Zea mays: one gene and its partner. Each later gene encodes a partner of the first gene's protein in a complex. Links are inferred from orthologs where the notes say so. Each region holds a gene or a part of one and is shown on either strand. Other genes may lie near its edges. The genes, in order: SNF1-related protein kinase regulatory subunit gamma-1-like and SNF1-related protein kinase regulatory subunit beta-2.

Region 1 (15,821 bases):
TCCGGTGTGCACCGGACTGTCCGGTGCGCCATCGAGCAGACGCCTCCAGCCAACGGTCAAGTTTGGTGGTTGGGGCTATAAATACCCCAACCACCCCACCATTCATTGCATCCAAGTTTTCCACTTCTCAACTACTACAAGAGCTCTAGCATTCAATTCTAGACACACTAAAGAGATCAAATCCTCTCCAATTCCACACAAAGCCCTAGTGACTAGTGAGAGTGATTTGCCGTGTTCATTTGAGCTCTTGCGCTTGGATTGCTTCTTTTCTTTCTCACTTGTTCTTGAGATCACAACTCCATTGTAATCAAGGCAAGAGGCACCAATTGTGTGGTGGCCCTTGCGGGGAAGTTTTGTTCCCGGCTTTGATTTGAGAAGAGAAGCTCACTCGGTCCGAGGGACCGTTTGAGAGAGGGAAGGGTTGAAAGAGACCCGGCCTTTGTGGCCTCCTCAACGGGGAGTAGGTTTGCAAGAACCGAACCTCGGTAAAACAAATCTCCGTGTCTCACTTGCTTATTCGCTTGGGATTTGTTTTGCGCCCTCTCTCTCGGACTCATTTATATTTCTAACACTAACCCGGCTTGTAGTTGTGTTTATATTTGTAAATTTCAGTTTCGCCCTATTCACCCCCCCCCCCTCTAGGCGACTATCAGCGCGCTACATCGACGCCCGGGTGTAGTGGAAAATGAGCAAGGGTCTTTGCATCTTCCTCGGCGGGTGCGAAGGGTAAGGAAGTTAGTCGAGCCAACTAGGGTCCGTGTAGGTAGTTGGAACGTAGGTTCCTTAACAGGTAAGTTACGAGAAATAGTTGACGTTGCGGTAAGGAGACGAGTAAATATTTTATGCGTTCAAGAGACCAAGTGGAAAGGACAGAAGGCGAAGGAAGTGGAAGGTACAGGCTTCAAGTTGTGGTACACGGGGACTGCAACAAACAAGAATGGAGTAGGCGTCTTGATCGATAAGAGCCTTAAAGATGGAGTAGTAGATGTTAAGAGGGTAGGAGATAGAATCATCCTAGTCAAGCTGGTCATTGGGGACTTGGTTCTCAATGTTATCAGCGCGTATGCTCCTCAAGTAGGCCTTAATGAGAACTCAAAGAGGGAGTTCTGGGAAGGCCTGGAGGACATGGTTAGTAGTGTGCCAGTTGGCGAGAAGCTCTTCATAGGAGGAGATCTCAATGGCCATGTGGGTACATCTAGCACCAGTTTCGAGGGTGTGCATGGAGGCTTCGGCTTTGGGACTAGGAATCAAGAAGGAGAGGAAATCCTGAACTTTGCCCTAGCCTATGACATGTTTATAGCAAACACTTTCTTTAGGAAGAGGACATCCCACCTGGTGACCTTCAGTAGTGGCCAACACACTAGCCAGATTGATTTCGTCCTCTTGAGAAAAGAGGACAGGCATGCCTGCTTAGATTGCAAGGTTATACCTGGAGAGTGTGTGGTAACCCAACATAAGCTTGTCGTAGCTGACTTCCGTTTTAAGATTCGTTTACAACGGAATAAGCATAACAAGGTCACTAGAACAAAGTGGTGGAAGCTTAAAGGGGATGTGGCCCAAACTTTCAAGGAGAGAGTTATCGAGGAGGGCCCTTGGGCAGAAGAGGGAGACTCAAATATCATGTGGAGGAAGATGGTGATGTGCATCCGAAAGATAGCTTCAGAAGAGTTTGAGCTGAGTCAAGGAAACAGAAGGGAAGTTAAAGACACTTGGTGGTGGAACGAAGATGTCCAAAAGGCTATCAAGGAGAAGAAAGATTGCTACAAACGCTTACATCATGACAAGTGTGCAGAAAACATAGAGAAGTATAGGATAACGAAGAAGTCTGCAAAGCGAGCGGTTAGTAGAGCCCGGGGTCAAGCCTTTGACAACCTTTATCAACGGTTGGACACAAAGCAGGAAGAAAAGGATATCTATAGGATGGCCAAGATTCGTGAAAGGAAGACAAGGGATGTCAACCAAGTCAAATGCATCAAGGATGAAGCAAACCAACTATTAGTGAAGAATGAAGAGATCAAGAATAGATGGAAGGAGTACTTCAACAAATTGTTCAATGGAGGGAATGGGAGTTCTACAATAGAATTGGACGAACCATTCGATGACAACAACAGGGGTTTTGTGCGAAGGATACAAGAATATGAAGTTAAGGAGGCGCTAAAAAGGATGAAGGTAGGAAAGGCGATGGGCCCTGATGGTATCCCTATCGAGGTATGGAGATGCCTTGGAGACATAGCGATAGTATGGCTGACTAAGCTTTTCAACACCATCTTTCGGACAAACAGAATGCCCGACGAGTGGCGGCGGAGTACATTAGTACCAATCTTCAAGAACAAAGGAGATGTTCAAAGTTGTACTAATTACCGTGGAATTAAACTCATGAGCCATACAATGAAGCTATGGGAGAGAGTCATTGAACACCGCCTGCGAAAGCTGACGAGCGTGACCCAAAATCAGTTTGGTTTCATGCCCGGGAGATCAACTATGGAGGCCATTTTCTTACTAAGACAACTTATGGAGAGATTCAGAGAACAAAAGAAAGACCTGCATATGGTCTTCATAGACTTGGAGAAGGCTTATGACAAAGTACCCAGGAGTGTAATGTGGTGGGCCTTGGAAAACACAAAGTAGCAACAAAGTACATTAATCTTATTAAAGATATGTACACTAATGTTGTGACAAGTGTCCGAACAAGTGATGGGGACACCGATGACTTTCCAATTAACATAGGACTACATCAAGGGTCGGCTTTGAGCCCTTATCTTTTCGCTTTGGTGATAGATGAGGTCACAAGGGACATACAAGGAGATATACCGTGGTGTATGCTTTTTGCCGATGATGTGGTACTTATTGAGGAGAGTAGGAGTGGTGTTTCGCAAAAGTTGGAATTGTGGAGGCAGACGCTGGAAGCAAAAGGTTTTAGGCTTAGTAGGTCTAAAACGGAGTATATGAAGTGTGATTTCAGTGCCATGGGGTATGAAGATGGCGATGTTAGTCTTGATGGGCAAGTGGTACCCAAGAAAGACACTTTTCGTTACTTAGGATCAATGCTTCAGAAGGATGGAGACATCGATGAGGATGTCAGTCATATAATTAAAGCTGGATGGTTGAAGTGGCGGCAAGCGGCGGGTGTCTTATGCGACCCCCGGGTGCCACACAAACTAAAAGGCAAATTCTACAGGACAGCAATCCGGCCGGCTATGTTGTATGGAGCAGAATGTTGGCCCACTAAAAGACGACATGTCCAACAACTGTGTGTGGCAGAGATGCGTATGTTGCGCTGGATATGTGGCCACACAAGGAGAGACCGAGTCCGGAATGATGACATACGAGAGAGAGTAGGAGTGGCACCAATTGAGGAGAAGCTTATGCAACATCGTTTGAGATGGTTTGGACATATCCAACGAAGACCTGAAGAGGCACCAGTGCATATCGGAATAATTAGGCGTCCCGAGAATGTGAAGAGAGGTAGAGGTCGACCAACCTTGACGTGGACAGAGGCAGTGAAGAGGGACCTGAAGGAGTGGAATATTGATAAAGAGCTCGCCGTGGATAGGAAGGGGTGGAAGTGTGCAATTCACGTGCCAGAACCTTGATTTATAGTTCCGCTTTTCCTCCTTAATCGTTTGACCTTTTCTTGTGCCCATTTAGACCTTGCTGGTTCTTGTGGGTTTTATCTCTTTTATGTGTTCCCCCGTTTCGTCGTTTTCGGTTCTCCTTTGCCTTTGTTTCCCCTGTTTTCTTTGGGGGTTGAGCTCTGAGGTTTTCATACGGGGTTTCATCTCTAGCCTACCCCAACGTGCTTGGGACAAAAGACTTTGTTGTTGTTGTTGTTGTAGCTTCCTTTGTTAGCTGTGAGCCTTTGTAGTCGTGTATGCACATATTATTGCAGCGGTTTAGTTTGGCATCACTAAAAAACTTAGTATGACAGTATGTCTTTCTAGTGTTTTTGTGTGGAGTTTTGGAAGCGTTTGAGTGATCCACCGGCGAGTAAAAGGCTACATAAAAGCATAACTTACATGTATCATTATAACATCACTAAATAATGCTGCTATAAATACATGTTAACCAGTAATGCCTGAAGTTCTCGGCGCTGTCCCTTTGATCTTCTGGATTTGTTGTAAGGTGTATCCAACCTTGTTCGGATAATAGGAAGGAATTGGAAAAGATTATGAATAATTTTGACTTGTTATGAATTGAGACCCGTCCGATCCCCTTCAATCCATATGGATTCTGGTAAAACCGGTTCTATCCCAATTCATATGGATTGAGTGTTTTCAATCCCTATTAAGTCAAAATCTCTTCCAATCCATATGGATTCAAAATAACCGATAAGGTTTTACCGGCCTAGTTTGTGTACTCTAGTATTGACACCAATCCACATATGTTGAGGTAGATTTGGATGTAAATTAGTTTAAGTTACCACCTCAATACATATGGATTCAGGTCAATACTAGAGTACCCAAACTAGGCCTAAATGGACAGGATCACCTCCTAAGGGCTTGTTCATTTTCAATTGAATCCATATGGATTGAATAAGATTACGGGCCTGTTCGGTTGTACCGGAATGAGCCAGGATTCATTCCAGCTCATCAAAATCTATATAAATTAGAGAAGTAATCCGGCTAGGAATTAATCCGGGGCTCCAATCCGGAACAACCGAACAGGGCCTACGTGAGTTTAAATCCATAACAAGTCAAAAATCTCTACTATTTTTTTTTCAATCACATCCAATCCATTTGGTGTAGGAATAACCGAACAAGGCCTAATGGTTACCACACATTTGTTCAGAAAACCGTCCAAAGAAATGACATAGTAAAATATTTTTAACAGCACAGAAGCCTTGTTACTTAACCTACACAGGATTTGCTGGATTAACACGACACGAATGCACCGTTCCAACCAAATAAACCTTCCTCACATACTGACCTGTTATTATCAACATTCACGCTACAGAAAAGCTCAAATTTTCTCCACTGATCTGACTCCTTTCCCCTCAAGCTTCTCCATCGCTGAAGCCAAATAGTTGTCGCAATAACCGGGTGGCTCATGAATAAAGCATGAGATCACATCACGCAGAGTCACAACACCAACAACCTCAAGGTCATCATCCACTACATATATCCTGTGTGTTATTCTTGATGCAATGCTGTCAATAACACTACCAAGGGAAGCGTCAGGAGTGCAAGTGGGTGGTGGCTTCACCAGGCAATTGCTCTCTGAATCAGGAAGAGTGGAGCCTAGAGTCTTCATGAATTCAATGACTGTCAACTGCCTGTATGGAAGAAACCATCAAGACACAAGGGATGCATTACAAAAAAAAACACAGGGACGCGCTGTAAGATAGCTTGATACCTGAAATTTGAAAATAAGTTGGGTCTAAGCAACAGAAAGCGGATGTCCCTTATGCTAACACTGCCAACAAGTTTTCTTTTGGGGCCTTCTACTACTGGGACACCACCAATCTTGTTATCCTTCATGCACTTGAAAGCTTCTAAGATAAGATCATCACTGTTGACGGTGATAACCTGAAAAAAAAAACAAAATTGTCACATCAACATTTACTAGTGTGTTGAAGAGGCAAACACATAAAGAATTATATAATGAAGTGCTTTGCAGGTTGCACAAGTAAATTAATCAGAATGTCGTAGAACATAGGAAACTGGCTCTTCCAATGAAAGGGTGGTATTCAACTAAAGCAGCAAGAAAAGGGAGACAAAATAACCTCATCAATGGACATAAATGGAAGTCCTAAGTCTGAAAGAGGAAGTGCAGAAATGTAGTCAAACCAGTCCCTTCCTTTACATTGCTGCAGCCCTTTGACAACACCAGTCTGAGTAATGAAATTCCTGATGATAGGCTTTTCAGGCTCAATCACAGGGACATTTCGCAATCTGTACTTAGAGAGCAACAGAAGTACAGTCAGCATGGAAGTGTCCAGTGTAATGGGGACAAAAGGAGACCAGCGGTACGACTCAACAATCGATCGAACCTGCAGTAGTAAAAGAACAACAGATGATCGTCATACAATATTTAACTAGAATAGAAGAGTCTGAACTAAATTGAATCTTATCAACAAAACACAGTGCAGGTAACAATAAAAAAGCAAGATATGTCTAAACTTTAAACCATGGGCCAACAGTTGCAATATATGTAGGGTAACCAAAATTCCGTTCAGCCACACAGCAAAACATTAGGTCAAATGTGTCCCTTTGAGTGGACGGATTCTTAAATTTGATCAATACTAACAAAAGAAAACATATTTATTATTTGTTCATTCAGTGGTTACATGCGTAATTGTTAAGGCCAAGACCAATGGCTTACTGTTGTTGATCTGAAAGGTTCCTGCTGAAGTAAAACTTTGTAGAAATCCTCCCCTAAATGATCTGCAGCAGTTAGCCCATCCTTCGCCACACCCTTTTCAGCAGTTAATCCACCAGCAACAGAAGCCCCAATTGCAGCTGCAGTTAAGCCAGCTACAGCAGCTGGGCCAGTTGTTCCCAAAGCTGCCACCCCAACAGCACCAACAGCACCCATGCCAACTCCAGCAGCAGTTGCCGATGCAGCCGAGAGTGCAACAGCAGCAAGCTCAGCATTTTCTAGTACCCAAAGGATGATTGCCGAGTAATCGATGACACCAAGGTACCTCCCCTGCCAATCAGTAGGAGCCCCAGGTTCTGGATTCAGTACTGGTGCTGCCCTTATGTTCTGTTCAGAGAGAGTCCTTACAGCATCAATAACAGAAGTATCACCAGGAATTTCAATTACTGCATATAAAACATCGAGGATTACAAACTGTAGAATAAAGGTGATGGAACACATAAAAAACAATTTGAGTAGTTTTGTTTCGCAAAAGTGTGTACCTCGACCAGCTGGAACCTCAGGGAAGGATGAGACTGGAATCTGAGCAAAGGCAGCAGTTAGTGATTCTTGCAAAGTCAGTGGCAACTTCTTCTTGGACTGGATAGCTTCAAAGTAGGCATCACAGCTTGGGAATTCAGGGTTTTCCTCAGGTTGATCCATGTCTACAAGAAATTGTTGAAGAATTAATCAAACATTGTCTATCTACACTGTCACCAACTAATAAATACACCAACTAACAAATATATCACATGCAGGGCAGTTAACATCAAGATAAGGTTTGCCAGCACACATACCCAATTAATGAAATATAAGTAATCCTGATTGCAGGAACTACACGCACAGTTTAGTATCTAATTAGGTATCCTCTCAAGATAACAGAGTGACATCCCTATTGGGCATTACAACAGACATCCTACAGGCATGATTTGAACTTAAATTCATCTGCCTAAATCATTCCAAACCACAAATAAAAACTCCATCGACTTTTCCTACACATGGAATCAGAAAAATCGGCGCAGTGGTTCAGTTATCCCTACAGCAAGGTGCATCGCCAGAGCACAAGTTTGTATCACCTAGGGCTCGGATGCAGGCACCAAGTCCCGCCGCCTCCCTGGCCCGAGAAGAGATTGGGACGGAGGACGGGCTAGGAGGTGTGATTTTGGCGGATCTGCGGCGTGGCTCCGGTTCTTGGGCGGCGATGGGACTTGGGAAACGGTGGGCAGCAGCTTTCTTTCTCGGTTCGAAATCCAGGGGCGCAGGGCGCCCGGAGCCCGGAGTCACCACCGAACGCGAGATGGCAACAGACGACCGCAGCGCATGTACGCTGGGTGGAGGCCACGTGAGCAAGATAGATAATTGCTTCGTATAATACCTTCCCTTCACTTTCGGGCCGGACTTTTCGTGTCAAAAGAGGCCTATGACCCCCCACGATTGGGCTGGTCCAACACACGAAGCCTAATTTGATCATTCGACCCGTTTTTTTAATTATATTTCCAGATGATTTTTTATTTTAAGAGTTGCCGAGAATATCTCCTCCACAATTGGGGATCGTCCAATTAAGCGATTTGGTGCATCCAATACAATACAGACTGCTATTATTTATTTTAACCCTCTCCACCTAAAACTAATTTGACTGTGCCTACGACAAAAAAAAACTAATGTGTACATATGTGCACACTTATTTTATCACTATGATACAACACCTAAAATTATAAAAAATAGTGATAAATGCAAGTTTCTATGTTAAATTATATATTTTACTTCCATCGAGTGGACCGTGGCATACTCTAGGGTGTGTTTGGTTGTGGGATAGCTAGGACGGGATCGTCCCCTGACGTCCTCTCTCGTCCCTCCAATTTTGAGGGACAACAGGGCAATTTTGAGGGACAACAGGGGACAACACAGGATAGTACTGTCCCAACCCTTGACCCAGAACCAAACAACCTAATTTGAGGGATCGTCCCATCCCATCCCGTCCTGTCATTGCAACCAAACGCACCCTAAGACAGTCTATCGGACCATGAGTCCACCGAGACCTAAAAAAACTGATATATATTATATTTACATTCTAGTTAATGTTAAATCTATAGTTTCATATACTATTCTTATCCTTATATTCTAAATTGTATATCAAATTATTATAGATTATACTAAATTATTTACGAAAAAATTATGGCATACCTCATTAAAAAAAATCCTATCTACGCCGCTCCCGCCACGAAGAACATAACCAATTTCATGAATCTAAAACAAAATCCACGCTGATCAATTTCATGGAATTCACAGAGGTAGATGACCAATTTATTTATTAGTACCATACTACCATGTATATTAATGCCAACAAAGATTAAGGGGGTGTTTAGTTTTCCAGGGATTATTTTTTTAGTCCATTCATTTTAGTCTTTAAATATGTATTTTAGTTACCGTATTTGATAATCTAGTGACTAAAATAGAATAAAATAAAGGAACTAAAAATTAGTGTCTAGGAACCAAACACCTCAAACGGCTGCATTGTACCATCATGTTACTGCTAATTCATATCACATCAATACGAACCAATTTCCATAAAAAAAAAGAATGCTATTAATTACAAGACTAATTAATTGAGAACCGTGTGTGAGATATGCTAATGAAAACAATGATGTTACAACCTGGAGTAGGTTACTGGTAAGCAAAGGACAAATTAAATCGAATGCGATAAATGTACAAGTCATTTTTCCCCTATCCTAGCGCAGTAGCCAGTGTGACTGTGTGAGCCCATCAGTTAGCACCTAGCAGGGAGGTGCCAAGGTCAAGATGTCGTCGACATTTCTTCCACCGCACTGCTCGCCGAGATAGCTGGCGACGGCGACCATCACCGCCGTTCGGAAGCTAGGGTCTGCGACCGCCTTCATCATGATGTTAGCCATTGGGACGACGACGTTGTATTGACTGGACGCCGCAGTCGGCGGGCCGGATATGGCCACGGCGGCGCCGCTGAACGAATAGCGCTGCGGCGCCGGTGGCAGCGCGGTGAGCGGCGGTAGCAGCAGCGCCTGCCGCGTCGCGTGGCGTGGACGACGCGAGTACGGTGGACGACGCCATCGCCGCGGCGGCGTAGGCGTGAGCGGGTGGTTGTGGACGCCGTCGTACATGGCGACCAGCACGGCCGTGTCGCGCGCGCACAGCTGGACCTTCATCCTGACGGGGCAGTCGGGCGCGCCCGGCCGTGCAGCGGTAGTAGGCGCGCGGGCACGGGTTGCTGCCACTTTCTGGCCGTACTTCCGCCACTGGCACCCGTCGCTCATCGTGGCCGCGCCGCTGCACCGCGCCCTGAAGGTGGCGCGGCCCGGCTCTACTGATGCCGCGGAGGTGGTGGTGTCGGCTGCAGCAGCGCCTTCTATTATTGTAGCTGGTTGTGCTCTTTTCTGCATATACAGACTGCAGGATCTCTTGATCTGTCTATATTAGCTCTGGGCATAAAACCTAAAAGTTGCCTAGAGGGAGGTGAATAGGCAAGTTAAAACTTTTTCTACAAAAACTAGAAGCAAACTGGGTAAAACTGAATTGATCTCGAAATTCACCCAGTTAACTTTGGAAATGAGATGTTCTAAATGATCCACAGAGTTCAAAGTAGTAGATCTGAGAAGGGCACTTCTCAAAATCCACACACCAAAAAGATATGAACAAATCTTCCACGGAAGGGTGAGAGAACGAAGAACACAAACAAACACAATGAGCAAGATCACAAGAGACACAAGATTTATCCCGAGGTTCGGTCACACCACCAAGGTGCCCTACTTCCTCGTTGAGGCGCCCACAAAGAGCCGGGTCTCTTTCAACCCTAATCCTCCCTTTGCCGATCACAAAGGTCAAGCCCATACAATAATCTTTGCTCAAACGAGCGGGTAATACAAACTTTCTTGTGGTCTTCCATAAGATTTGGAGACTCACAAGAGACACCTAGTCGTCTAAGAGCTAGAAGCTCCAAGAGTAATGAATCCACAAAGAACTCGATGTAGTACCAAAGCTCGAATGAAGAAGAGCGAGAGAGATTTAGAGATGAAGCACAAAAACCGTAGCTCTCAAGCTCACTCAAAGATTTCTCTCCAAAGATTTGAAATGGGAGAGGCAAGAGATGTGTGAGAGAGAGTGGGAGGAGTTTCTCAAGTTGGAAATGGAGTTCAAATCGTGCTCTTCGCTGTGGGAGAGAGGTAGGAGGGAGTATATATAGGTGGAGCTCAAAACTAGCCGTTTGGGCAGATTTTTCTGCCTGAGACCGGTTGAACCGCCCCTAGGGCGGTTGAACCGCCCCTGGCAGACCTGGCAGCCTGTCTGCCAGTCTGACTGGCAGACTGACGCGTAGACTGACCGCAGACTGGTCAAAGTTGACCAACACCGGTTGAACCGCCTAGGGGGGGCGGTTGAACCGCCCCTGACAGCTCCTGGCGACCTGTTTGCCAGTCTGACTGGCAGACTGCAGATTAGAGGTCAAAGGGGTCAGAGACCAGCTGAACTGCCCCTCAGGACCAGTTCAACCGGTCTTGACCAGTGAGTTTAGGAGAGAAAACCCCAGCTCAACTGCCCGGAGGCAAGTTCAGCTGGTGTATGGTCAAAGAGGTTCACAGCTGAAGTTGAGTTCAGCTGAAGTTGAGAAAGCTCAACTCAGCTAAAGTTTAGCTCAACTGAAAAGCTCAGCTGCAGCTGAAGAAGCTCAACTCAGCTGAAGTTAAGTTCAGCTGCAGTTGAAGAAGTTCAGCTGCTTTTCAGCAAGAACACTCTAGGTTTCTCAAACCTAACCATGGTCAACCAAATAATGTTAAAGTGATTTTTGGTTTTCAAAAATAGCTTTTGAATATAGAGGCTTGAGCTTTGGCAAACACCAACCTTCTTTTTGGATCCCCCTTTATAGTACGACGATTCCTATACTCAAGTTAAATAAATAAAATGAAGTAAACTCCTTGAGTCATTGGTGTCTCATGTGTGATTTCTCCATGGCGTTGCTTCATAAGGATCACAAACATCTTTATCTCACCTTTTGAAGCAAACACAAATCAAACCATGTGACTTGTACCATATCACCATATATGAGTTCAAATCATGGTTTCAAGTCACCTTACTGATGCATCAACATGTTATAACTCTTCATAGCTGATTAGTTCATCGACTTAGTGCAAGTACTCTCTTCTTCACCTTAGCCATGGTACCTCGGTCTACAAGCCGTCACTTGGCCTTCACCTTTGCTTAGTTCCTCGAAGCCCTTTCCTTGCTATCTTCACCCTATCAAGCCATTCTTGAGTCACATCCTATTGAGCATCCATTGAGAGAATCATTTCTTCAATATTGTGAACCTTGCTTGATTGTCTTCTAGATATAATTGTTAAGATCAATCAAGCTCTAGTTTGATTCTCATAGAAGCATATATATGGACTGATAGTAATATGGTCAAGCCAATTCACGATTCCTCATATCTTATCCACTTTGGCTTAACCAATCCTCTTAATCACTTTATCCTCTATTCTGATCATATGTATGTAGTAATTTCTCAGGTCTTGTCCATATATTCAAACCAATATAGAGATCATATTATATCCATTTACATTGTCCCATTGGTTATTTATCCTCGTGTTGAACCTTTGTTCACTGTTCATTATATACTATTCAAGTATGTTCGTCATACTGAATTTCCTGTTCAACACTTAGCAAACTTGTTAGTTTTTTAAATGTGTTGTTATCCAAATCACCAAAACTCACAAAAGGGATGAATGCACTTTCAAAACCCGAGCCCGAAGTCCGAAATACCCGAGCCTATATCCGTTTAGCCCAAAGTCTGATGCCCGAACGGTTTCAGTGGGTAACGAAACTAAATACCCGATTTAAATTCGGGCCTAATCGGGTAATACCCCGCGGTACCCAAACTACCCAATAAACCTGAAGTATTACCTGTGTGCTAGATTGCTAGCCGTCAAGCCAATGACAGGCCGCGCACACGACCCAGTAATTCAATGCCCAGGCGCCCAGCGAAGCAGCCCAGCAACCAAGCATCTCCACATGGACCGTACACCAGTGCAGACGTGCAAATATTGTAGTGGTCTGCTACCTTGCTGCTCGCTTAAGACTATCTCCAGCAACATCCTCTAAATTTCATCCTCTAAAGGAATATTCTCTGTCCTTTACAGCATACTCTAAAAAAGTTCGTTCTCTATATCTTCAGCGTCTCCAATAAAGTCCTCTAAATTTATCCTCTAAAGTCCGTTCTCTACTCTCTCTCTCTTTACATCATTGGTCGACAAGAAATAAAAGATAATAAAAAGGACATACACCAGGTACACTAGCAGCCAAAAGAACCATCTCGTGCAGGATACCGGATCTACAGTGCATCTCCACATTTAGCGGCTGAAGACCACACTCTAAAATTTAGAGACTCGTTTGCAGTCTCTTGCTGGATTGGATAGAGTGTGTTGTATCCTCTAAATTTAAGGTAGAGGGCCCTTTAGAGGACCTATTGGAGCCAGTCTAAGTGCCTGTTGCCTATGCTGACCGTGGAACGTCTGTTCTGGACTATGGCCTATGGGCGTGTGGCTGTGTGATTGCCTAGTTGCCTGCTTTTGCTTGGTTGGTTGTTGATTGCCCGACTATGGCTTTGAGTTGTGGTAAACTAATAATGTGATGATTTGTCTCTCTCAGGAAGACAGAAATAGTCAAACTGATGTGATGTGCTACACTTTTGCTATGTGAAATTTTTTAAAACACTAAATGCTTGTTGTGCAGTTGTGATGCATGTTTTTTTGTTTGCTGTTGGAAATGGAATGCACCACAGTGAACTAAAGCAGACAAGCAGTGGCTAACCAAGTTGGTTTGAAAACAGGTAGAATGGGCTACCCAAACCCGAACCTGAAAAATTCGGGTACCCGAATTAACGGGTATACAATACAGTCACACTGCTTTTGCGTATCGTTTCTAGAAACCCGAAATTTAGAAAGCCCGAAAAACCCGACCCAAATTTTCGGGCTAACCCGAATGCCCACAGTGAGTCTATATAGACAGGCAGTCGAACAAATCGTACGTGCAATGTGGTCCTATCTACTATATATATTTAGGACCCGTTTGGGAGGGCTCCGGCACCTCTAAAAATAGTTATGGATCTGGCTTCTTTAAAGGAGTAGCTCCTCAACAAAAGCATGTGCTTTTTACAAATCGTTTGGCAAAACGGCTCCTCGTGTATTATTTTTGTATTATTTGATTTGGAGTAAAACGATCTCGCTGCCAGCTGCATCAGCGCATGGACGACCAATGCTTTGCTCACCGTGCAACCTTCTTGAATCACATCATGGGGGTGGCTTGGAGAGAGGTGTCTGCTCGAGGAGAGACGCAGTGCCCATACGTGGAGCCGTGGAGAGCCAAAAATTTGAGCTCCGGCTCTCAGCCGTATTCTAGCTCCTGCTCTTGCTCAAGAGCTGTTTTGTGGGTAGCGTTTGGGAGAGCTTCAGCGAGAAGTCGGTACTGGAGCTGCCGAGGAGCCCTCCCAAACGGCCACTTACCTGAAAATGTCAAAAACCTCCGAAGTTTGTTGTGATTGTTGCAATTAACATGACTGACTTCGGGTTTTTGAGTTTCTTCCCCATGTGTCGTTGTTGCCACCGGCTATACCAGCAGGCTGTGAGTAGAGTTCAGCGAAGTCTACATTATTTAGCTCAACAAAACCTTTGTTTCTCATAATTTCCTGGATCATCAGACCCTGGTCTGTCTATAAGTAGCAGTTTCTCAATCAGCTCCCATATACCAATGCAAGAGTATTTCACACTCTCTTGCAGGTTAGACTGCTTCTAACACACGCCTATACTGACCGTTGATATGGGAGACATGTCGATCGGTACCGACCGTGTCGGTCCCAACATCGGCCGTCTCGGCCAACTAGTCGGTGAGTCCGTCGACCATGTTGGAGTTGATATTGGCCGGTATTGGGGAGAAGGTCCCTAACCAAATGTCCAAATTAACGAAGTTTATTGTTAGAATGCTTTTTAGGGTATTGATTCAGGAAAAAAGCTTGAGAGGTCAAAGCTTTTGAGGTAGCCTCGAGGCCAAAGAACATAGAGGCAAGGAGAAAAATAGCTTCGGATATGTCATGGGACAAAGACGGAGCTTCAACGACCCTTAAACCTTCATTCTCCAATGATGTCGAAGTCCCTCGAGAGGAGAAGTCGTATATGATGTCAGAGGTGTAAAATTACTAAGTTGTACGTCCTCCATTATGAAAGACTCATATTTGTTAGGAAGGTTATATTTGTAAATTTGAAAGAATATGTACAATGGCTAGATCTTATAAATAGGTGAACAGTGTCGCTGCTACATGGATGAACATTTTTGTAGGCGCGTAAGTACTAAGATTACTTTTATCCTTGACATTCATTTGTCAAAATTACATATTGCTATCTTTGTCTTATGGTATTCGTATTTGTGTTTCATATCCCAAAACTATATGACCTTTAAACAATGGAATCATGTAGTGCACCCCTTTCTTCCTTTATCTCCTTCCAAGGGTAAAAAGATGGACTTTGCCTAAATTATGTTGTCCTATTATGATCCTTTGCAGAATCGTGATCGATACCAACATTTGGTGCCCATCTCTATTGAACTCATCAATGACCACCATCATGCCTCCATGAAGGTAGAAAGAGAAAGTTTTTAGCGTAACTGACCGTGCTAACAACCCAGAAGAGCAAGACTACAATGAAGACACTTAGTAGATCGAAGCTGTCAGTCAAAGGCAAGAGAAGCGAAAAGCCCCAGCATTACCAACTGAACAATATGATGTTGATGAGGAAATACATGGCTTCGTTGTAGGATCTAGAACATCGACTAGAGGGGGTGAACAGACTTTTTCGACTAAAATCAACAACACTAGAGAAATTTAATCAGTACAACAAGAGGGATAAATTATCTAGCCTATGTTGAGCTAAGATAGGTTGCCAACCTAAGGTGAGCAAGAATCAAAGAGTCTAGTAATGAACAATGATGCAACTAATCCAAGAGATAGTAAGTAATCAAGTAATGGACAAGAGAGACATTGGATTTTTTTATCGTGGTCTCGATCGTCGATCACCCCTGATCCAAGTTGAGCTGGATTCAATGCTCTTACTTGCTCCTATATCAAGATACTTGATTATTGAGCCAAGTGGACAAGGAATTACTCAATACCTCAATTCCACTAGCTTTGAAGTCCCATTTGTGAGATAGATCATCCATATTGAAACTCAAGGCGTAGAGATATCTCCCCCTACATGTGTGCATGATATATCTATTTTGCTTTTGCACACACATATTGTGCATTGACAGCATACTGTGCATTGACGATGAAGGTCTGTTCCAAAATACACAAGATTTTATTTTGTGTGCCAGATAATCACACCTTTATTTGACTACAAAACAAATAATACATCAACTCCAGGTCTGGCATTTTTTACGCCGGCGTCTAACAGAGG
Region 2 (15,882 bases), on another chromosome or scaffold:
CAACGGCTAGAAGGGGGCACCGGACTGTCCGGTGTGCACCGGACATGTCCGGTGCGCCAACGGCTCCAAGTCTGCCAACGGTCGGCTTCGCTATTTAAGGAAGGAAATTGGGCACCGGACAGTGTCCGGTGTGCACCGGACTGTCCGGTGCACCCGACGACAGAAGGCAAGAAAGGCCTTCCAGATTTGCTCTCAACGGCTCCTAGCTGCCTTGGGGCTATAAAAGGGACCCCTAGGCGCATGGAGGAGTACACCAAGCAACCTTAGAGCATTCTTGATCATCCACACTCAGTCTTTGCGCATTCGTTTGTCATTTGCAGTGATTCAAGCTCTGTTCTAGTGAGAACTTTGAGATAGTCTTTTGAGCTCGATTCTTGGCCGTGTGTGTGCGCATTTTGCTGGGGATTTGTGTGTGTTGCTTCCCTCCCTTACTCCGTATTTCTTTGTGAATCTCAAGTGTAAGGGCGAGAGACTCCAAGTTGTGGAGATTCCTCGCAAACAGGATATTGAAAGGAAAAGCATAACACTGTGGTATTCAAGTTGATCATTGGATCACTTGAGAGGAGTTGAGTGCAACTCTCGTCCGTTGGGACGCCACAACGTGGAGTAGGCAAGTTTTGTACTTGGCCGAACCACGGGATAAACCACTGTGTCTTCTCTGTGTTGATCTTTTGTGGTATTGTGTTTTGTTGAGACTCATCTCTAGCCACTTGGCGATTATTGTGCTAACACTTAACAAGTTTTTGTGGCTATAAGTTTAAGTTTCACAGGATCACCTATTCACCCCCCCTCTAGGTGCTCTCAATATCCCATGCCCATAGCCGACACATTAATCAATAATGCATCAGGAAATAGAATTATTAGCTTTCTTGATGGTAATGCCGGATATAACCAGATTTTCATGGCCGAAGAGGATACGTCTAAAACGACCTTTATATGTCCAGGCTTCATTGGTTTATTTGAATGGGTTGTCATGACATTCGGTCTTAAAAATGCTGGTGCTACTTATCAGATGGCTATGAATCTGATCTTCCATGAGTTGTTAGGAAACACTGTGGAAGTCTACATTGATGATATTGTAGTCAAATCGGCTGAGTTTAGTCCTCATATAGCTGATTTGCGCAAAGCCTTTGATAAAATGTGTCGGTATGGTTTGAAAATGAACCCACGTAAATGTGCTTTTGGAGTGTCGGCTGGTAAGTTTTTAGGATTTGTCATCCATGAACATGGTATAGAAATAGACCCTGACCGAATCAAGTCTATTCGGAATGTGGGACCTCCGACTTGTAAGGTCGAAGTGCAGAAGTTTCTCGGCAAGGTGAATTATTTATGAAGGTTTATTTCTAACCTAGCTGGGAAGATTGATGCCTTCACCCCTATCCTTCGGCTTAAGAATGATGCCGAATTCACTTGGGGGGCAGAGCAGCAGGAAGCATTTGATCTCATTAAAAAATACTTGTCTTCGGCTCCCGTGTTAAAAGCACCACAAGTAGGAGCACCATTCAGATTATACATTGCAGCTGAAGATAAGGTTAATGGGGCTGTTCTGACACAAGAAACTGAGGGGAGGGAGCATGTGGTGACATATCTAAGCCGAAGGTTGGTGGATGCGGAAACAAGGTACACTTTTATTGAAAAGTTATGTTTATGCTTGTTTTATGCATGCACCAAATGTAGATGTTATTTACTGTCTAGTCATTGCACTGTTTCTGGTCAAGCCGATGTGATCAAATACATGTTGCATAACCCAATTATGAATGGTAGGATTGGTAAGTGGGCTTATGCACTCATAGAATATGACTTGGCCTATGAACCATTGAAATCTATGAAAGGCCAAGTCGTAGCGGATTTCATTGTAGAACATCGGGTTAATGATATTCATGAACTAGACATGTCATACCTCACTATTACTCCTTGGACTTTATATTTTGATGGATCGGTTTGCAATGAAGGGCAAGGAATTGGCTTTGTGCTTGTTTCACCAAGTAATGTCTCCTTTGACTTCTCTAGCCGATTGAAAACTTATTGCACTAATAATCAAGCTGAATATGAGGCCCTCCTATTCGGCTTAGAACTTTTAAATGGTATGGGAGTAAAACATGTGAAGGTATTTGGTGATTCTCAGCTGGTTGTCCAACAAGTGTTAGAAGAATATCAATGTTTTGATGGTACTCTAAATAGTTACCTTGAGAAATGTTGGAGCATAATCCATTCTTTTGACGAATTCAATATTCGGCATATTTCTAGAGTTGAGAATCATAGAGCTAACGATTTGGCACAAGATGCATCAGGTTATCGGATAAAGAGAGGGAAATTTCACAAAACTGAAAATCTGATAACCAGTGCAGAGCCAAGTTCCCAGGTCGTGGACCGTCCGCGTGATGACGCCGAACCGTCCGGGGTTACCAGAAATGTTCTCTTAATCGATTCGGCTGACAATGAAACCGATGCAAGTGATTGGAGGACACCTATACTTAATTATTTACGAAATCCCAATATCAGGACAGATAAGAACATTCAGCAAACAGCTTTCAAGTATGTTTTGATGAGTGATGAACTTTACCGCCGAACGGTCAAGTGCTTGGGCCCAGATGATGCTATATTAGCCATGGCCGAAGTACATGAAGGAATTTGTGGTACTCATCAATCAGCTCCAAAGATGAAGTGGTTGTTGCGAAGGTCTGGTTTTTATTGGCCTAGTATGATAGCTGATTGTTTCAAGTACTACAAGGGTTGTCAAGTGTGTCAAAAATTCGGCGACCTACAGTTGGTCCCTGCAGCCGAATTACATCCTATCATCAAGCCTTGGCCGTTCAGAGGATGGGGATTAGACTTTATTGGAGAAATTCATCCTTCATCATCAAAGGGGCATCAGTTTGTGTTAGTTGCCACTGACTATTTCACCAAATGGACTGAAGTCGTTGCTCTAAAGAACATGACGCACAAGGAGGTAATTGAGTTCATAACTGAGCATATTATTCATAGATTCGGCATTCCCCAGACCTTGACTACAGATCAAGGTACTTTTTTATATCAAAGGAGGTACGTGAATTTGCTGAATCATACAGAATTAAGCTGCTTAATTCATCTCCATATTATGCTCAAGCCAATGGACAGACCGAGTCTAGTAATAGGACATTGATTAATTTGATAAAAAAGAAGATATCTGATAATCCTAAACATTGGCATAAGATTTTGTCTGAAGCTTTATGGGCTCATATAATATCTAAACATAGGGCTATTAAAGTATCTCCTTTTGAGCTTGTCTATGGGCAGGAAGCAGTGTTGCCTGTGGAAATAAGTTTGAATGCAGTCAGGTTCGCCAGACAAAATGATCTAACTGCTACTGATTATTATAATTCAATGATGGATAATATTGATGAGGTGACCGACAAGAGGATGATAGCTTTGGGAGCAATAGAAAAGGACAAAATCATGGTAGCCAAGGCCTACAACAAGAAAGTCAAAGCAAAATCATTTCAAGTAGGGGCCCTGGTGTGGAAGACCATTCTGCCTCTAAGGAATAAAGACCGGAAGTTCGGGAAATGGTCGCCAAGCTGTGAGGGTCCTTATAAAGTAAAACAACTGATGTCTGGCAACGCCTATTTGCTACAAACATTACAAGGCAAAGATTTGCCTAAGGCTTTGAATGGGCGTTTCCTCAAGCAGTATCATCCCAGTATGTGGCAGAATGCTTAAGAAAACTGATGTAATTACATCGTGTTAAGATGCTTTTGGTTCGCTTAGCTCCACCAAAAGGCAGGGGGCATATGTTGGAGCCCATTTTGAGCAGGGCGGACGGTCCGGCCCTGAGGCCGGACTGTCCGCGGTCCAGACGGTCCGCGCCTGGGGGCCGGACGGTCCGCGTGTGCGCAGAGCAGTTTAGGGTTCCGAGTTTTGTGCTACGGTTGTTAGCTAGATTCGCGGGATTCACTCGGAAATTTGTTTGTAACGGGTCCAGCCCTCCTCCTCTATAAATAGAGAGGTCTACGGTCGATTTGAAACAACGAATCGAACCTTCAATCAATACAATTTACATTTTATCCTAGGAGTAGTTCTAGTCTAGTTTAGGTTTAGCTATCCAATCCCCAAATTCTTCGTCTCTCTTCGGCTCTACGTCGATTAGAGGAGTCTAGGTCGGTCGGCCCGAGCCTAGACACCACCTAGGATCTCTCCTCCCCGACGGGGTCCCTCCCGGGAGCGAGATCCAGGCGCCGCCGGCGACTTCCGCCGCCTCTGCGTACGCGCGGACCGTCCGGCCCCCAGGGCGCGGACCGTCCGGCCGTCAGGCAGAGAAGCCCTAGCCGCGCACCAGGCCGCGGACCGTCCGGCCCCAGGCCACGAACAGTCCGCCTCTGCGTAGAGAGTACCACCACGCCTCGCACCAGACCGCGGACCGTCCGGCCCCGCGCGCGGACCGTCCGCCCCTGTGCAGAGGGCACCGCCACGGTTCTTGTTGAGTGTTTGACGCTCCGGAAAGGCATCAACAAGTGGCATGCGTTGCATGCTACTCATCGAGTACACCATGACGTTTGCTGCAGATCCAGATAGGGCTAGGCATGGTCTTCAATTATAGTGTCCCTAGAAATCTTGTCTTAAATCTTGTCCCTCGACGACAGTTGCATTGCCCCTTGAGTGTGTGTATGTGAGGGCGAAGAAGTGGCCGACCCTAAGGTCATCTCTTGCATTTATTGCGGTACTAGGGCTCTATCCACTACTCATCCCCCGATGTGTTTGTCATACCGGTCGCAAGGGTAGGCATGACGACTTACATCTATGGACATCTAAGCCTGAGGCACTTGACTGATGTAATCGGTATCCGGTGTAGTATTTTTTGCATTTATTGTGTTCTGCGGTACATTTCATGTGGCTACAGGATTGATGCGCGTACAACAGGCTTGTTATGTCGCCCATCACACATTAATGAGTTGTGCTCGAGACATATCCATGAAGATTTTGTTATAGATCTATTATCGGGTGCATAGAAGTGGGGTCCATCTCCCGAGGCTATATTGTCTTAGATGGGCCTGACACATTATTCTGCCATGAGACAGTTTTACACTCAACTTCCCTAAGTCCTTAACATCCTTGGGGACCATGGTCTCGGCTGCCCTCGATGAACGAGATCAAGGGCTCCAAAGACAATAAGGTCATCAGAGGCCACAGGTGGCTAATCACCGGTAGTGCCTAGTGGACATATGGCCCCCAAACATCTATTACATTATTTCCACGTGAACATGAGGAGCCCTAGGGACTTAGATTCTAAGTGCTTCGGGACACAAGAGGCTCTGAGGCCTTAGGTTTATAAGTGCCTTGGAACACGAGATGTCCTAAAAACTTGTACTTATAAGTGTATATGATACAAGAGTCCTCGAGGGCTTTTACTTATAAGTGCCTTGGGACACAAGAGGCCCTAAGGACTTTTAAATGCTCCATGACATGTGGAGGATGAGAGGCTTAATCTTTTGAGTGCCACGTGGCCAAAAGTGCCTTGGGGACTTCAAATTATTTCTCTCTTGGAGGTCCCAGGATGTTAGGGGCCTCGGGCCTCATAGGGTGTAGGGGGCCTGGATGGTCGTCGTGTCTTTTTATAGCCGAGTCATCTTATATATTTGTCACTTGGACCAAGATCTCTCTTGGTTGGAACCGGGGGAGGTCCCTAGAGCCTCGAAAATAGTGAGCTCTAAAGTCAGTGTCCTGAAACAAGATCTCTGAGAGCATCTTAACAAAACAACGAGGTATATAGCTTTCTTTCGAGTGCTAACAACAACGTTAGGAGGTATGACACTCCCCATGCTGATAATAATGTTGACTGCACGAGTGTCGTTGTGACTTTAGAGACTATAATGTTGGCAGAATGGGCAATTCCAACTTGCAACTTTTTTCTTCAACATTGCAAGCTTTCAGTCTCAATCTAGATACATAAACATTTGATTTGCTTTGTTTTTCTTTCATCTTTTAATTCTTATCCCCTCTCCCTCATCTCACTTGCCAATGATTATTACACGTCTTTTCACTCTATATTTTTGGTAAATGCGAAGTCATCTCTCGGTAAAGCAAGTGCTCATTCTAACTCCTGATCGTTCGTCCAAGCAAGATGAGTATGTTGCATTAAAATTGCAAGAGCCTCCAAATTTACATTAACTACTAATTGGCAGTACTTTAATTCTTGAATAGAAAAGAAACAAACGAGATGCGACCAGGCCGATTCGACTATTGGCCCAAAATAAGCCCAATAACTTTACAAAATTCGGAGTAGGAAAAAAAAAGGTCTTCCGTTGCCGGGACTTGAACCCGGGTCTCTCGGGTGAGAGCCGAGTATCCTGACCAACTAGACTACAACGGAGTTGTTGGAAAGTAAAGAACACAAAGCTATTTATTATATTATTTACGTACTCTAACTATTAGAGCTATAGAATTTTTCTGATATTCCTATGGTGCAACATGTCTCCACCCCAGGAATATTTGTGAGCGAAGGTACTCTCGTCTCGGTCCAATTGCACTGTCCGATTGACCGGTCAAAATGCAGAGAGCCGGCACATCCGCAATCATAACAGCAGCGACAGAAGAATGGTGCCAAATCACAAGCAAACTACTCCAACCAAACCATCACTGCCACCACCAGCAGCCAAATTAGGTACAACAAGGCTAATAATCATTCGAAAATGACGTTCTCGCCCGTTTCTGCACCACTACAACAACAATAACAACAACTGGAAGGGGTGGGCTGCAACCCAAGGGGTGTTCAATTACCATTACCATTACGGCATTACCATTACCGATCCTGCGCGAGAAGAGGGAGCAGGAGCGCAGGCACACGACCACACCCTACCGCCTCAGCACTGGCTTGTAAAGCACGACGGTCACGAACTTAGCCTTGAACCGGTGCGTGATCCCCAGAGCAACCATGGACCTCGTGTTCTCTTTCTCGATGTAAAGGTGGTTCAGAACCACGGTCTGGGGCTGGGGCAGCGGGCTCGACTCGTCTTGGCTTGGTGGGAAGCTCAGCAGCGTGTGCTGCAGATGAGGTGGCATCAGTGGGGGCTCCCGGCCTTCGTCTTCATTCCCAGGAACAGGGTTGTCGTAGCTGGAATCCGGTGAAGGCGGGACTTCAAATCCAACAACGTGGACCCCTTCCTGGGTCATGGTTAGCAACCATAAGTTAGCCACAGAAATTTTGGTACCCACTGTACATATATATGCAAGGTTATGTAACTCCTTACATGGTCATGCATGCCTTGTTGGTCCATATTCCAACAGCCTGTTGCCTTGTCCTGGAGGGAGATAATACAACATGCTCATGTTAGTAAAGAATTTAACGACAAAAAAGGAATCTGGACTATGAACTATCATGCTTAATAGGCTCTTGAGGGTCCTCATTGGTTTTTTACGGAAACATCTACTGCAGATTGCATGTGTTGCACACGTTCACTAAATGTTTCGATGTCATTTGTATGTAACTGGAAGTAGATGTCCTTTGTGCTACTCATCCATAGATTTGGAAATCTATTGATTCTATTCCTCATCATTACGAAGTCAGACACACTCTATTTGTCCCTGTATTGTGGTGATTACTTTCCTTTGCAGTTAACTGGAATGGAATTTATATCTGGTGTAGGTTGAGACGGTCTCACTTTAAGATTATCTGGCTTTGCTGTGTACTGCAACAAGTCTTGAAAGCTTTTAAGATTATAGACCTTGTTAGTGCTTGGGTTCTATGTACTCCCGCGACCTCTTGCAGTATGTGTTCATGAGACCTTTTTCGTTACATGAGTAGTAGTTACTTCAAGTCTATGTTCAGCTGTGCGTTCTTTGTTTTAGGTTTTGGAATCATCAGAGACAATCTGTGATAAGGTTTATCAGGTTTTGGAATCGTCAGAGACAATCTATGATAAGATTTCTCTGAGAGACAAACATACACCACATGTTTATAATTCGAAAAGGTCAGTCCATTTACTTCTTGTTGTACTGAAACAAATCCGATAACAGGGTCAGGTTGGTAATAGCTCTTTGTTGTTGGACAGTGATAGTAGCTGATTTACCCCTGCAGGCCCCCACCGTCAATCAGCGTCCCTCCCCCTAACACCGCAATCAGCACACCTTTCCTGATGCAGACAGTTTCCAATCGAAGTCTCTTTTCCATCTTTCCTGAGACAGTTCTGGTTGATTTTCCATTTCTCTTTTTTTTCCAGTCTGAAACGAACCGAACTAATGCTGCAACGTACCTTACCTTTAGAATTGGTGTCAAGTAGAGTAAAACTATATAGGATACCAAAACTATCTTTCATTGTGCATTTTTCTCAAGCAGAGTAAATATCAGCATTTTCTACTTGTTAGCAGTGGGTAGGGGATGCACATGTTTGCGTGTAGGACTGTGAATAACACCGATGTTTCACATATCCCTAATAACCATCACCCTTATGCAGTTTGATTCTGATGCAATTAGTTCATGGATGGATATGTTTTTGCGTTGTCCATCTCTAGAATGAGTTAAAACATATTTCTTGCTCATGGGAGTACTGCAACTGTAGGCCATTATCTGGATATCTGCAGTATTATCTCAGGCAATACTACTTTGTTTGTAGGAACCACCGCCAGCGACCATGTCCCACTCGTTGAGCCTTGGCGCACAGCAATCATCGGTAGAAAAAAAAAACTAAAGCACAGGTCCACCCATGGCCAAGTAGAAAGGTATATGAAAGCACGGTCAGCATTACAATTTTGTCTCTGCGCTAATTGTTTAGTGATACTGCTTGCAAGATTCAGGATGCTAATAGAAACAAACAATGGAAGATAATTTGTAGCTAAATTACCGAACAAACTAAGAGCCACCTGGCTAATTTGCGGAGGTAGTCTTATTTTGCATAATATTTGTAATCCACTCCACCAAGATTGCATGGTATATTCATACCATTTACCGCCGGGTGGGGGGGGGGGGGGGGGGGGCAAGTAATAAGATGAATTATGAACCGAGTAGAACTGAAATTACATAAAAAGCAGCAAGCTTTGTGATGAAGATAAAACTATGAATACATATTGACTTCGATATGTCAGAATCCAGATTTGATAAAATTCTAGGCAAAATTAAATTCAGATCTTTTGCTGTTCCCATACAGATCAAACGCAATTGAATGGCATTTCACCAGCAATCATTTTTGAACTTAGGACATTACTAAATGGGATGATCATACGGCTAAAAGATTTGAAGCAACAATAAGAATCCAAATGGTATTCCAATAGATCAATTTTAGCCTAAAGTACTTGGGAAAAGGTCACGGTCATATACTAGGAAAATATTTCAGGCAAGGTATCACAGTCCAGTATATGGCAGTCCCTCTCCACTTACATTGCAGTTGAGTACATGAATTATCCTTTGTAAGGGCCTGCTTGGCAATTGTTGAGTTTGTGGTCCAAATTCTGCATATAGAGGCCTTGTTGGCATCGCTACGCTCCGACCCAGCCCTACACGGCAGGGGGTGCGGGGGGCGGAGACCCCCGCGGTATATATTAGTGACCCTAATTAGGGTTTGCTGCGCGTCGTCATTATCCTCTTGTAAGCCACCGTCTACGGATGGCGTTCTGTAAACACTCCACGTGTAGTGAAGGTTTCGCCTGGCTAGAGCCCGTGGTTTTTCCCTTCGCATCAAAGGGTTTTCCACGTAAATCTATGTGTCGTGCTCTGTGATTTGTTGGTTGATCTACTTCATTTTTCCTTCTTCTAACAGCAATTTAGGAAAATTATCTTCGTATGAATATTAGTGACTAGGAAATTATGTGCACATAGGTCTAGGATCTGGATGATTGTTTGGCAAACATGATAAGTATCACAAAACCAGCCACATACTTCCCCATGTGCCACCGCAGGGTATGGGCTGCTCCTTGCTGGAGCTTCACCGCAGGGGCGGATCCAGTAAAGGAACATCGGTGTACACATGTGCACCCAGTAATTTTTGCAAAAACATCGAAGTTCGGAAGCTTGTAAAATAGCTAAATAGCTTTAGATTAGGGTTTCAGTGTTCAGCTTCGCGCAGCATGAAGAGAAGGGAGGAGGACGGGTGGGAGTACCTGCTGGGTGCTCCTCGCTGGCGAAGAGACCAACAAGAGCCTCAGCACCTGGCTTATTGCGGCGTCGGCGGCGGCGGCCCACCGGTCGTCTGAGAGCGAGGGGGACGAGAGAGAGAGAGACAGAGAGAGAGAGAGACAACGCACGAGGAGCCGACGATGGATGCCGCGGAAGGGGGATGCGGGTTATGCATCGACGGCGTCAGAAAGAGCGCGCCAGGCCGCCCACAGGCCACGGGCCTTCCTCTAGCCTTTTTTCATAATTCACTAGGTATATGCCCGTGCGTTGCTACGGAATCAATACGATAAAATCCTTCACCCAATGCACATGAGACAATATTGAGATGTACCAAAAATTGTAATGTTAATACCTTAAAACCACTAATTCAGATGCCCTTTAAGCTGCAAGTGATTGGGTGAAGGGCATATGCCCGTGCGTTGCAACGGGGACACTTATACACGGATATGACATTGTTTAGTGATGTTATCAAAAAACAACTCAACAATCATAACAAGTGAGTTGATCTAGGTAATGAGTGACAAAAATCAGCCATGCACCAAATATTAAAGGATCTAACTATGTAGTAATGAAGATAAGATCCAGCGATTAAACCATCATAGTTGAGATAGAAAGCACCAACCTCACTTGTTATTTGGTGCATGGCTGATTTTGCTCTAAACAAGCATGGCCTCTCTTGTCACTCCTAATCATGTTACTGGCAGCAGAGATTAAGCAGTCCGGGAACACCGTCAGTTTGATGTCTATATATAAACCATACAGACAATAGACAAACTGATTCGCACGGTTTCATGCTAAAAAATCCTCGATAATCTATACAGATGTTTCATTTCGGTTGTGGTTTTTCTGCTACACATTCAGAATCGCAACTCACCGGTCACCGCTGTTACAGCATCCACCCAACACATCTATGCACGCTATCATCCTAATAACTACTTAAGCAATTACACAACAGGCTCACAGTTGCAGCCCCAGGTTGAGGCGCGACGGATCAAAGGCGACCCGACCCCCCCCGGCACACACACAACATTATCAATCAGCCGTATGTGTCTGCATCTGATTCACCACCAGTTGAGCCACATGTGGGAACATCATTGGTCCTGAAAAAAGACAGACACACAAAGGTCATGAACTTTGAACTAAAATGGTCATGAGAAATGGAACATTAACCGTACAAGTGTAGTTAAGAGTCTGGTTTGGCACCTGGAACATCATTGAAACCATTCGTAGTTTGCTGCATGCCTGGGTGTCAGTGAAGATTATTGGGGCTGCCCTTCATCTCAAGGGTACGTTCAGCTCGATTTATCGAAATTTGTGGTAGTGATCCACATTGCTGGCTTGCTAATGCTTCGGAACTCATCCTCTGCGTTGTGCTGGTAGAAGCATATGGCGTAGCATCTGGCTGAGATCCCACCAAATGGCTTCCGTCGTTGCCAGCACAGGCCTCAATGGCAGGAGGGCTGCTCATAGATGGCTGCTCACCTGAAGCTGTTGTACAGTCTTGCGGTGTCGTTGTTTCACGGCTCCAGGCCTACAATATCTTGTTTCCCATTTGGCGACAGAAAACTTTCCAAGCATCTGTTGATACCACGTCTTCTATGTAACCCCCACGGTCGGTGAGGTCTGAAAGAAATACCCTTGGAGGAGTCATGGATCCAGAGGTGGTCAACATGGATGTCTAAGATTCCGCCAGACATCTCACTCCCAAATGCAAGAGCGGCTCTGAAAGATGATAGAAGTGGTAAGCCTCCCAAAGGCAATGCTATACCTGTCCCATCTGTTTTTCAGCGAGATAACTTCATGGCTGACAATTATGGTGTTGTCCTTGATACATAAGTTTGAATATGAATATGGAGCAAGAACAGATAATTAGTGGGATGATTAAAAACTTCTCGACATCGCTGTCTAGTGCATTTTAAGAGTTACAAAGTAAGAGTGGTTCAGATTATTTGTTAAGCATATGGGGCAACAGTTAGGGCATATTATTCAGGTTTTTATGCTACCAAGTACAACAAGAAATGGAAAAGGAGAATAAGTTTTCTTCAGAGATCAAGATGTTTTTTGCTGCATTCAGAACTAAATCACTAAATAATACCAGCCTACCATCAAGAATGAATTCAAATATCTATGCTGTAAGAAAATAAATCATAAAAAGGTCCATTCAGCCTAGAAAAAAAATCATACCTGGAACTATGCCATCAGTGAGTGGAGCGTCCAGCGAGGTCTCAATCGTCACATTGTGGACCTTTACATTACTGGAGAATACAAAGACACTATGCTTTAGTACATATGTAGCTAATATTCACCAAACCACACCTTATGCACAGAGCTAAGTTAATTGCGTTGCACCTGCAGTACACCAGATGTATGCTCTAGGCTGGTGGATTTAAGAACGTCAAGTTTGAGATCACAATATCTTCAGAATACAAGAACTCCAGAAGGTTGGGTCGGCTATGGTTCAGCTCATAGGAGCGCAACCAATGCCACCATACCAAGCTATGGCCATCAATAACTCCATTGTTCCCTGGATAAGGTGTGGTTTGGTGAATAACGTGCATTGTTGAAATTAACTTGTCATGTTTTTCTTGAAATTAACAGAGGCAAATAACGTGCCAATGCTCTCCTAGAATCTGAATTCCGAGTCAATGTCCATTGCCCATACAAATTTCCTAAGAAGAGATTTATTGAAAATCTGTTAGCAGAACAGCATGTTCAATAACTGCAGGCATTTGCAACAGGGGAATTTGGAGAAAAACAAATATTGTTAGAACCAGAAATTGCATACCTTCTCAATAGGGACTTCATGGCGTTTGCACCAAATAAGCAAGCACTATACTCTACCGCCAAAGGACGAGAAAGCACACCCAGAAATAACTTGACACTTCAACGTTTCTATAAATTTCACTAATCTAAAAATGCAAACACCATAGAAATAATCATGTCTTCCAAACTCCCAACAGTTTTTCCTATAATACACAGGTGTCAAATCATGATTAATAAGAATCAAAAGATATGCTCATATTTAGTAAATAACAACAAAATAGGTTGCTTATGGAACACCAAAATTAAAAGAAGACGATGCATATTAGTGGAATGTGAAATTTAGAACTGACACACAATAATTGATGTAACATAGGTTGCTCATTTCTATACAAAATTAACCACTGCATTCTGCTAGTTTGCATAGCATTATGAGTTGTAGCAATTTCAAATAACAGAATTTTGTAAGGATGCCTTAAAAATTATTCATCACAAACACACTTAAATGGTTGGTAGAAAATAGCAGGCACAAGACATGCAAAACTAAGCATACTGTTGGGAGCCACATATTGTATCATCAACTTGAGATATAATATGTAAAATAAAACTACATTTAAGAGTTAATTGTAGCAATACTGAACTTGATCATGTATTGCTTAATACTGATTATTGTTGCACCTAGGCAATAAAACTATTGTAGTAGAAAAACTCATCTGAGAAATTATATCATGGGTCACCTAAATAGACCTTTTATACAATTCTCTTACTGCGGACGGACTGACCCGAGGGTTACAGGCAGGTGGTATATTTCTAAAATTAATATAAAAAGATAAGTTCATGACAGGAAGAAACTCTGTGCCAGGAAAGTATGTACCATGCAAAACTGTGTGACAATTTAGAAATTAATTGTTTACAAAAAAGACCAAGATAATTTTAGTGGAATATTTTCTGTTACAACAAGCTTCAAAGAGTTAATATAGATTAGTAATATTCCCAAAACATGGTAGAAGAATATGCAAATTAAAGCCACCAAACTGACAAACTAATTGTATATTACTTACTAACTGAATAATGGAATAGCCGTGAAGAATCCCACAGAAATTAGTTTGTATTATATGAAATTCTAAACATATATCGGTGGCGAGGCTAAGCAAACCAGTAAAGGTGATGTTGAAACCTATAGGAGAATTGACTTGTTCGTACACATCAACAGAGAAATTCCTACCAATGAATTGCAGTCCTGTCCAAAACAAAAAAGTGACTGGTCAGCATCAATTTTCACTGAAATAAAAAGCCTTCAAATCTATCTCGATGAACCTTAATTTGTACCTCTCTGCATGTTCTCTCTGCCAACATTCCATCTCTTCAACGCAAAAATACAAGACAACATGGATAGGATAATTAACTTGAGATATAATATGTAAAACAAAACTACATTTAAGAGTTAATTGTAGCAATACTGAACTTGATCATGTATTGCTTAATACTGATTATTGCTGCACCTAGGCAATAAAACTATTGTAGTAGAAAAACTCATCTGAGAAATTATATCATGGGTCACCTAAATAGACCTTTTATACAATTCTCTTACTGCGGACGGACTGACCCGAGGGTTACAGGCAGGTGGTATATTTCTAAAATTAATATAAAAAGATAAGTTCATGACAGGAAGAAACTCTGTGCCAGGAAAGTATGTACCATGCAAAACTGTGTGACAATTTAGAAATTAATTGTTTACAAAAAAGACCAAGATAATTTTAGTGGAATATTTTCTGTTACAACAAGCTTCAAAGAGTTAATATAGATTAGTAATATTCCCAAAACATGGTAGAAGAATATGCAAATTAAAGCCACCAAACTGACAAACTAATTGTATATTACTTACTAACTAAATAATGGAATAGCCGTGAAGAATCCCACAGAAATTAGTTTGTATTATAGGAAATTCTAAACCTATATCGGTGGTGAGGCTAAGCAAACCAGTAAAGGTGATGTTGAAACCTATAGGAGAATTGACTTGTTCGTACACTGCAACAGAGAAATTCCTACCAATGAATTGCAGTCCTGTCCAAAACAAAAAAAAAACAGCCCCTGGAGCAGTTGATAATAAATCTGATGCTGATTCCTCGGCTAGCACGGCTGTGAAAGAAAATAGTATTGCGCCTGCAGAATCCAACAAGGGGACTGGAAGCAATGATAAAGATGAAGTATTCTCAGACAGTGACGACGGGGAGGATGGATCATCTAAGGAAAGATAGGAGATGACTGCTGGCGGTGGTCAAGGCAGTGTAAATGCTGCTAAACCATCCCAAACAAGCCAACGTGAAGGAGGCATCGGTCGCTGCTAGCAGACTTGATAAAGTATAGCTGTAACCAGCGAACAAGGAACCACGAAGGCACCTGATGTCACATCTCTCAAAACTCAAGTCAGCAGCAAGGGCAGCTCCACCGCAGCTGCTGACTCTTGCAGCATGAGCGAATTCAAGGCGATCGCAGCAGATGCCAACACAACAGTAGAGCATTTGATGCACAGTAAAAAAGTGAATAGGAAGGAAGAGGAGCGGGACGCACGCGCACCAGGCCGCTTCTCGGAGAAGCATCCCGGGATGACGACAGAGATCCCCGCCTGCTCGCTAGGCCCGTAAAACGTCGCCTCAGCCCCCACCCTCGCTGCGGCGGCCTCGCCACTCCCCTGCGTGTGGAGATCCCTACATGCTCGACGGTCCCGTCAGCCACCTCGTCGACCCCCACCCCCGCTGTGGGGGCGTCCTTCCCGCTCTCTCGTCGTCGGCGTTCCGCTGCGCCTTGTTCTTTGACGGGTGGTTCGGCTCGACACAGGCGCGAGGGAGAACGACTTCGTGGCGAGGCGCGAGGCGTGTAGCGACCGGTGGGTGATGGGGAATGGGGGAGCGATGTTGGAGGCGGGGATCGGGGCTCCCAGCTCCTGCGCGGCTAGGGAAATAGAAAGGGGAGGCGAGGATCGCGAGCAGGACTGGGACGGGGGCACTCCCTCGCCATGTGCGCGAGGATGGCAGAGGCGC

The links.
Region 2: SNF1-related protein kinase regulatory subunit gamma-1-like (region 1) and SNF1-related protein kinase regulatory subunit beta-2 share a complex: the UniProt entries of both Arabidopsis thaliana proteins name them as parts of the probable heterotrimeric complex. The link is inferred for Zea mays from reciprocal best matches to the Arabidopsis thaliana genes AT1G69800 and AT2G28060.

Annotation. Positions count from the first base shown.
Region 1 is NC_050098.1:226,881,559-226,897,379, forward strand, and holds SNF1-related protein kinase regulatory subunit gamma-1-like, read right to left. Parts: upstream 7,698-15,821; 5' UTR 7,434-7,697; intron 7,023-7,433; 5' UTR 7,021-7,022; coding exon 6,861-7,020; intron 6,765-6,860; coding exon 6,322-6,764; intron 5,990-6,321; coding exon 5,723-5,989; intron 5,526-5,722; coding exon 5,353-5,525; intron 5,273-5,352; coding exon 4,960-5,272; 3' UTR 4,692-4,959; downstream 1-4,691. UniProt on the Arabidopsis thaliana protein: Regulatory subunit of the probable trimeric SNF1-related protein kinase (SnRK) complex, which may play a role in a signal transduction cascade regulating gene expression and carbohydrate metabolism in higher plants.
Region 2 is NC_050096.1:194,655,982-194,671,863, reverse strand, and holds SNF1-related protein kinase regulatory subunit beta-2, read right to left. Parts: upstream 10,221-15,882; 5' UTR 10,066-10,220; intron 7,275-10,065; 5' UTR 7,251-7,274; coding exon 7,224-7,250; intron 7,138-7,223; coding exon 6,829-7,137; 3' UTR 6,594-6,828; downstream 1-6,593. UniProt on the Arabidopsis thaliana protein: Regulatory subunit of the probable trimeric SNF1-related protein kinase (SnRK) complex, which may play a role in a signal transduction cascade regulating gene expression and carbohydrate metabolism in higher plants.